2 linked regions of the Drosophila melanogaster genome follow. Changing the gene in region 1 together with any one later gene gives a genetic interaction. Each region holds a gene or a part of one and is shown on either strand. Other genes may lie near its edges.

Evidence for each region.
Region 2: of HipHop (region 1) and cav, changing one enhances a phenotype caused by changing the other (phenotypic enhancement), as found in Drosophila melanogaster (one study listed by BioGRID).

The regions. Positions count from the first base shown.
Region 1 is NT_037436.4:18,819,219-18,822,886, reverse strand, and holds HipHop (HP1-HOAP-interacting protein), read right to left. Parts: upstream 1,717-3,668; 5' UTR 1,581-1,716; coding exon 915-1,580; 3' UTR 534-914; downstream 1-533. Other genes in the region: Cat (catalase), read right to left, coding at 45-101. UniProt on the Drosophila melanogaster protein: Part of the HipHop-HOAP complex that recruits the MTV complex to form the terminin telomere-capping complex, which binds to chromosome ends in a sequence-independent manner and prevents telomere fusion.
Region 2 is NT_033777.3:24,219,618-24,224,070, reverse strand, and holds cav (caravaggio), read right to left. Parts: upstream 2,541-4,453; 5' UTR 2,330-2,540; coding exon of another isoform or gene 2,318-2,329; 5' UTR 2,164-2,317; coding exon 2,146-2,163; exon of another isoform or gene 2,106-2,145; intron 1,830-2,105; exon of another isoform or gene 1,729-1,829; coding exon 1,597-1,728; intron 1,536-1,596; coding exon 648-1,535; 3' UTR 543-647; downstream 1-542. Other genes in the region: Spps (Sp1-like factor for pairing sensitive-silencing), read left to right, coding at 1-322; twin, read left to right, coding at 3,224-3,243, 3,508-3,539, 3,728-3,856, 3,920-4,106, 4,296-4,453. UniProt on the Drosophila melanogaster protein: Part of the HipHop-HOAP complex that recruits the MTV complex to form the terminin telomere-capping complex, which binds to chromosome ends in a sequence-independent manner and prevents telomere fusion.

The sequences.
Region 1 (3,668 bases):
ACATGCAGTTGCGCTCTCTCGCGCTCGCACACCAACACACTCACCGTTTGGGAGTTTTTGTAGTCAATCAACTGATTGGAAGCCGCATCGCGTCCAGCCATTTTGCTTAAAATTTAGGATATTTGCTCAACGGGATAACCAGAATTTAGAAACACTCGAACTGGAAAGTTGTTGATTTCTAGCCGCCTTCGGTTTTTTGCTGTGACTGCGTCGAGAATTCTGTCAACTAAAGCAACTGCAGCGCAGTTCCATTTGTTTTTATAGCCCAGCACCACGTACTTGTTGTTGCTCAGGGTTGTCGAGTGGGCCGAAGATATCGATATTTCGATTATAGTTGGAAATATATCGCTTAAATATTACATAATATCCATTATTATTCATATTTGTATTTAAATAGTATGAAATTCATTTTCAAAGTTTTTTTTTTGCACTGTCCATTTAAAAACGTGTCCCAACACCATTAAGATTTATTATTGATAATTTATAGTACCTTCGCTCCATTTGCTGCCCAGAAAGGTGAATAAATTTAAACTGTTTGTTAAGTTATTTATTTTTTTAATTTCATGAAAATGTCGGCATCATTAAGTTATAAACTAAGTCGGCTATCTATTGGTGCTCCTGCCAAATAAATATCTATGGCCTCTTTTTTTCTTAAGTTGTGAACCTCTTCCAGTGGTGCCTTTAAAATAAATGTACTTCATTCATATAATATATGTAAATATCATTAAACATGTTAAAATTATAAACTTCAAGGAAATCTCCAAATGGCGGCTATCTTTCTGTGGCTCCTGCCAAGCTAACATCTCTGTCTTTCTTTATTTTAGCGTACAAAAATATCTAATTAAATGAAACTTAGAAACTAGCATCAACTAGCATATGTATCTTGTTCTCTAGTCACAACTTAAAAAAATCACCTAACCACCTGTGGTTCCCATCAAGTAAATATCCATGGACTGCTTGTCCAGGACGGTCGGGCGCCTCTTTGGAATCGGCTGAATGTGCGGCAGTCGCGTGCCATTCACGGCGTTCAAACTGAGATTCGAGTTGGGGTCGTAGTCGTCGCAATCCGGAGTAGTCTGGGCCAAGCTCAGCCTCTGCGATGGTTTCACCATTAGGTTTGCCCTCGCAAGCTGGCGTTTTTGGATCGCTGCAGCGCTGGTAGTGGGCACATTGTCTGAATCTTGACTTAAGCTTCTGTGGGAGCACAGCTCTTCATCGGGAGTCACAATGCCCCCCTCACTGTATGAGGCACCGAATTCGGAACTTTGGCCAGAGACATGCAAAGAGGGCGCACTTTGGTGCGACGATGACTGACTGCCGCTGACGTCCGTAATGCTCGCGGCAGTCTCCCTGGCCATCTTGTGCCGTTTGGCATTGTCGTTCTTCTTCCGGTAGAGTCGCACCAGGTCCGTGTAGCACTTGCAGCAGATGAGGTTGCCCGCCCGAATTTCGCTGTTCAGCAAACAGGCGAAGCGCACCAAATATTTGTTGTTCAGTTGGCGATACGGCTTCCGCAGCGTGTGGTTGCCGACTGCGCAGAATCTCCGCTCAACGCGCGAGCCCTCGTCAATGGAGGCCATCTGGAATAGATCATGCACCTAGTTCTCCACAACTCGGGCTTACAAAACAATGCTTACACTGGCATTTTAACTTCCAAACGCAACAAAACGAAACATGAAGCCAATTGTCCCGCCACTTTGGAAACATATAGTGTGACCACATATGGATTGCTGAAATATACCAAAATTAGGCGTAAAATAAAATGCATTTAACTAATAAACAAATTCAATTTTTTTAAATGTTATAAAATCTAAAAACATACTGACATGGTCACAGTTTCTCACAATTTAAATGTGGCTTATTGTAATGCCAGTTAAGTAATTAATATGAAGAAACTATTCGTTTAAAATTGACAATAATCTAATTATTGGCGTGTTCGATGTTCATGAAATACTTATGTTATATCAGTTAGTTTGAAAATTGACTGTATTTCTTCTGTTGGTTGTATCAATTAAAATGAGTTTAAAAACACATTTTTTAAAACCCTAAAACCACATTCAAATCAAACTGTAATTATACCAACTAATACTGAAAATACCGAAAACTGCAAAATCAGCTGCTCGCCGAACAGCACTCAGCGTGCTGTTGGACGCGAAATGTTAGCCCATTAAACCCAGGTTATTTTTTGTCATTCATTGTTCATACGTTCGTCTCGTCTGATTTTCTTTTTATAAAAACACAATTAAAATTTCAAACGAATACACATAATTTTTATAAATATAATGTAGTGCAACACGTATATGTATAATATAGCTTAATACCAAGTGCAATCCCTCGAAAGATAACTTCAAATGGCAATCTAATTTACGTAAAGAGAAGAGACAAAAAAAGAAACGGCGCGTGTGAAATTTTTTCAAGCAAAGCAAAGGAGAGAAGTTGGAGCAACAAAAAAAAGAGGAGAGAAAAAATACAGCAACAACACACAAAGTAGGCCAACAACAACAGCAAGAAAAAAGCAAGCAAGCGGCAACAACCACAGCAACAACAATAACAACGTCGAGCGAAAGAAGCAAAAACCTTGTAATTGTGTCAATAAATGTTTTAAATAATATTTCCTTTGGGAAAGGCACCGTGTCTGTGTGCGCGCTTCGTGGTGTGAGTGTGCGAGACAAGTGAAATTTTCTTTGTTTCCCTGCGGGGGAGGAAAATACAAAAAAAAGAGTCAAGAAATAAAGTTGCCTTGAAACAACAAAAAACGCTGCCCCAAAAAAAGTGTATGCATGTGTGTGTGTCTGACTCGTTGTCTGCTGGTGTTGGTGAGTGTCTGGCCGTGTGTGAGTGTGTGTGGCAATGAACGTTGAGCAACAATAATTTTATTTATTTGGAATTTTGCTGCGCTGTTTGCTTGCTTTTATCTTTATAAATATACGCACAACTACAGCGCGATAAATGAATTATGAAAATAAAAGTCCCAAGTGCTCTTTTAGCAATGAAAATGTTTAGCCAAAAAACGAAAAGCAACAAAAACAGCGGCTTTAAGGCTGCTGGACAGGTTTCCCACGGCTAAAAAAAATGTAAAATACGAAAAGGAGCAACACGACGGCGACGTAGAAGAAGAAGCAGCAGCAATGCGTGAAACGCGAAAGCAAAGTGAAATTCAAGACAACAACAACAACAAACACGAAAGCATAGCGGCTAACAGAAACCGTTATTCAACAATTTCTTGAATAAAACAACAACGACAACAACAACAACATCGTAAAGCATACAAGTGAAAGAAGGCACAAAATACTGGTTTACACAAAATAAAAAAAGATAAAGCAGAAGAAAGAAAGCAAAGAGAGAAAAAGTTGCTGCACGAGAAATTTCGTTCGTGTATGGTCTCCCCATTTCTATCTCTGCATATATGAGAGTGTGTGGTGTGTGTGTGCATTAGTGAAGTAAAGTGAAAAGCAATGCTGCAAGGAATTACAACAACCACAGCCAGTTTACAATAAATATATAACAGTAAACGGTACTTAGGACCACAACAAAGAGGCCAAACAAAGAAACGAGATATTTGGACAAAATCTCAAGGTAAGTGAAGCAAAGCTGAATATTTCGATGATTTTCTATAAAAAAGTGCGTGCTTTAATTAAAGTGTGGGCATAAGTATCGAACAAAAGCGT
Region 2 (4,453 bases), on another chromosome or scaffold:
CGGCGGTTCAGCGGCGGCGGGCAGTGGAGCCTCCAGTGTGGCGGCCACGGTTGCAGGCTCAACTGTGACGCCGGGCGGGGCCACGATCGTTCAGCTGCCGACTGTGGAGGCCAGCGGCGGGGGTGATAGTTTCGGCGATGATGAGGACGACGAGGAGGATGATGAATTGACCGAAGAGGACGACGAAGACGAGGAGCTCGACGAGGACGATATGGATGATTGCGAGGATGAGGAGGATGACGAGGATCCAGAACTAGACAGTGGCGATGAAGTGAAGATGACAATTGCGGTCAGTGAGCCTGGCGACAATTCGTCCAACTAGCATTCGGAGTCGCTGTTCATGGAACAGTTCTTGTTTGACCACTTCCCGTAGCACCCACCGCCCCCTGCCGCGCCCCATGGGACCATGGTTTAGCAATATATAAATTGTACATAGCGTAATTATGTAAAAGCGAGCATTTTAAATGTTTACCCTTCTTGTACAGCTCCGGTTGCGGATCATCCTAGATTAGTGTACATAGCTTAATCGACCATCGTATTTTAATTAAGATTTTTATTATACATTTTATAACATTTTTAGGGATTACATGTTTTTAATTAATTAACACCAATAAATGAAGAACTTTATATAGTTTAATATATGGACATCAGGCTATTGAGGTGACGTCGATCGGCTCAGATTCTGTATTTTGAAAAGTGATAGTTCCTTCCGAATCAATTGACGGTCCAATCGACAAGCTTTCCGAATTAATTTGATCACACCTTACCCAGCTCTCATTCATCTCTGTCTCTGGACAGTTTACCTGATCGTCAGGCTCTTGAGTCGACGTGGGTCGTACTAATGTGCTCAATTGGGTGCCAAACATATAGTAGTCCGGATCAGACTCCGTATTCCGGAAACTGTTATTTGCTTGCGAATTTATACATCCAGTCCGCATCCTTCCTAAATTAATTGGATCACATCTCACCGAATTCTCATTAATCTCTGTCTCTGGACGGTTGATGTTCTCATCCTGAAATCCTGACTGCTGCTGTTCGTCCTCATCGTCTCCGATGCCGCTAAGATCAGATGACGACACGCCTGGCGGAGCCATCGCTTCCACTTGAAAGTTCATTTGAGACAGTGAACTAAGATTTGTGTTTGCTTGGTCCTCGTGGCTCTGCACCGCGTCATTAGAAGATGCATGAGCGTCTGGAGAGGATTCTGGTGCTGATAGGTTTTGACTCTTTTTCTTTTGCCATCTATCCAATCGGCTGATGTTCTGCTTCTTAGTCTCGGCTGCAACTATTTCTCTTCGCTGGGCCACAAACTCCTCCGGATACGGTTGGACCATCTTTCTGCGCACCGCTTTCATATACATTCGGTTGATGAATCTCTCAGACTTGTTCACAAAACGTCCTTTTGCTTCAAACCTCTTTTTGGCTTCCCACAGACAATTCCAAGCGGTCATATCAACCTTCACTTTGGTGCGTAGACAAAGCTCCTTTACCTCGTCCTCGGTGTATGGGCGTGCCAAGTCCTCCTCGGTTATTCTCTTCAAATACAGGATACTATACAATATACAATTTCAATTTACAAAATGAAATGCGTCTTACCGTTTTTTCGTGCATCCATAGAATCAATTTGTTGTTAGGATCGCTTTCTTTGAATTGCGCACGAATTTTTTTGTCCTCGTCGGCTAGATACTTTCTCAGGAAGGCAGACATTTGCGTCCCCGACATATTAACCTTTTTTTAAAAACACGCAACATTAAATTAAATAAATTACAACTTTTTAAGGGCATTCGCGGCTAATGGATCTATCGAAACTCTGTAAGGTTATCGATTAGTCAGTATTTACAGATTTTAATGGTTTAGCTCGATTCTAGCTAAGTATTTTCGTTTGCTGTCAAAATAAACTCATTTTATTTTACAAATTAATAATTCAAAGCTCCTGATTTCAATCCTATAAAAAATATCAATTCAAAAAACAGGGGTCTTAACTGTCATACAAAATATAGCTACTTTCTCAATACGCTAGTTGGAGCCCCTGCTTGCAAATTCTTTCCGATAGCCGATTAACAGCAAGTGGGCATTTCCGCGTACGCCAAACCAGCGCACAAAAGAGAAATGGAAAACGAAGGAAAGCGAAGAACGAAAGTTTACACATAGTAGCAGCAGCATAAATTCACAAATAAATCGTCCATCCAGAGATCTAAACTACATAAAATATATCGCGTCGAAAGCCGAGTCCTCAGCAAAAAGCATTGACCGAAAAAAGTGGCTAGTAAAGCAAACAGTACGAAATATCTACGTGTTTTTATTTTCAGCCCTGCACCTCTTTGACCATCTGTGTGCGTGTGCGTCTTGTGTGTATGTGTGCGTCTTGTGTGTGATGTGCTCTTGTTTTGTTTTGACTGAAATCCCATTTGAGTAGTTCTTTTTACAAACAAACGTTGTCTCACACTTTATCAGAACACTAGGCCGGACTTCAGTTGGACGAATAAGCACGCATTTTGGACAAATCTTGCCGTGATACCGTCCGCTGATAAAACCGAGTGGCAACTCCGACTGCTCACCATGTATACAAAAACAAGAACCGACGATGAAAGCGAGTCGCGTGATAAATAAATGAAAAGCAGAGGCCCAGCAGAAGAAAGAGCGATCCAAAACGAATAGGTTGATTAGCAGAATCGTCGCTTCTGTTCCGACAAACACGAACGAAAAGCAGCAAAATAATAAAATAACAAATATAGGACCCAAATAAAGGCACCAAAAACGGTAGAAGTCGGTTAAATTTCACAGTGAATATCGAATATTGCTGAATCCCCAGCTGCGGCTTCCTTTTTCTTTCAAAATCCTCGAGTAAGTGCAGGCGGAGAGCGAAAAGAGCGCGCGAAACGAGGAGAGACGGCGAGTAAATTTGAGCCAGAATTTCCGATTGAGGTGACTTCCTAGGAATAGTGAACTGAGCCAGGTAATCCTACACAGGTTCCTGATACCCACGATTTTCAATATGCGACATACGGCTTTCCTTCTTCTTCTTGTTTTGCCCGCCCACGCCATTCTTCTTTCTAACTGTATAGTGTTTCTGTGTGTGCTACGCGTCCGTGTGTGTGCGTGTGTGTTGGTGCTTGCACTTTGCGCGCGCTTACCAAAATCATTTTCGTTTGCATTTATTTATGATTTACAATTTACCATCCGCAGCTGTGCGAAAGCCAATAGCAGTTCTTTAAAGCCTAATATGTGTATCTTTAAAAAAAGGTGCATAGACAACGTTCCAAAATACATATCCAATGCTATTTATTAATAAAATATAAAGATTTTTCCTAAAATCCTCCAACTATTGAGTTTGGCGGTATTTTCCATATCGACCTTTTACCTTGTACTTAAATTTTAATTAATAATGTTTAAGAACTGCTATTAGTTTTACCTTAGCTGTATATGTAAACCAAACCCGGACCTCAGACCCACCTTTGTTTACTAATACAAAATAATAATGGAAACCACTTTATTAATATTTTGCAGAGACGCTTATCATCAGGCGGTTATTATGAAAGGTTATGATTTGATTCCAATACTCCTAGATACATTTAAGCTAAAACTCAAAGCATTCATTTTTGTTGCTAAGCGAGGTTTTGTCTCCTAACATGAGCCCTAACTTCCTTGAAACAATTCCAGATTTTAACTTGTTATCTCTTACCTTATACATATATTAATATAACTCTCTTCTATATATACCGAACAGGCAATCATTATAAAATGTCTCGTAACAAAGACAAATACGACAGCGCCAATCGGCGGCAGCAGATCTTTCTGTCGCAGGAGGACATAGCTGCGGGCAAGAAGACGAACTGGAGTGGCCTAGAGATTACTGGTGGGTATCACACACTTAATCCCGAAAAATATCATATTAATTCTACCATACATCTGTTTACAGGCTGCGTCCGCAATATCAGCCCGTCGCTGTGGGAATTTGAGCATCTAACCGCCCTCTACCTGAACGACAACCAGCTGCTGCGATTGCCCGCAGACGTTGGCATGCTGACCAGCCTCCGAACTTTGGACCTGTCCAGCAATAAGCTAAGAAGTCTTCCCGCAGAGCTCGGCGAGCTCATCCAGTTGCGGTGAGTTTGTGGGTTGGCATAGGACATGATTTACGTTGTTAAATCGTATTTTAGTCCTATTATTATGTCTCATACTCTATTGCACCCTTAGCAGTTGATCTATTGTGAAATCGCTGTCTGGGCGCAGACCCTATTGATCACTGATCCATGCTTTTCACTAAGCCACTCCATTGTCTTGCCTCCTTTTAGGGAGCTGTTGCTGAACAACAACTTTCTGCGCGTACTGCCTTACGAGATCGGCAAGCTGTTCCACCTCGTCATACTCGGCCTCATGGGCAATCCGCTGCAAAAGGAGTTCATGAACATCTACAACGAACCGAACGGCACGCAGAAACTGCTCACCTACA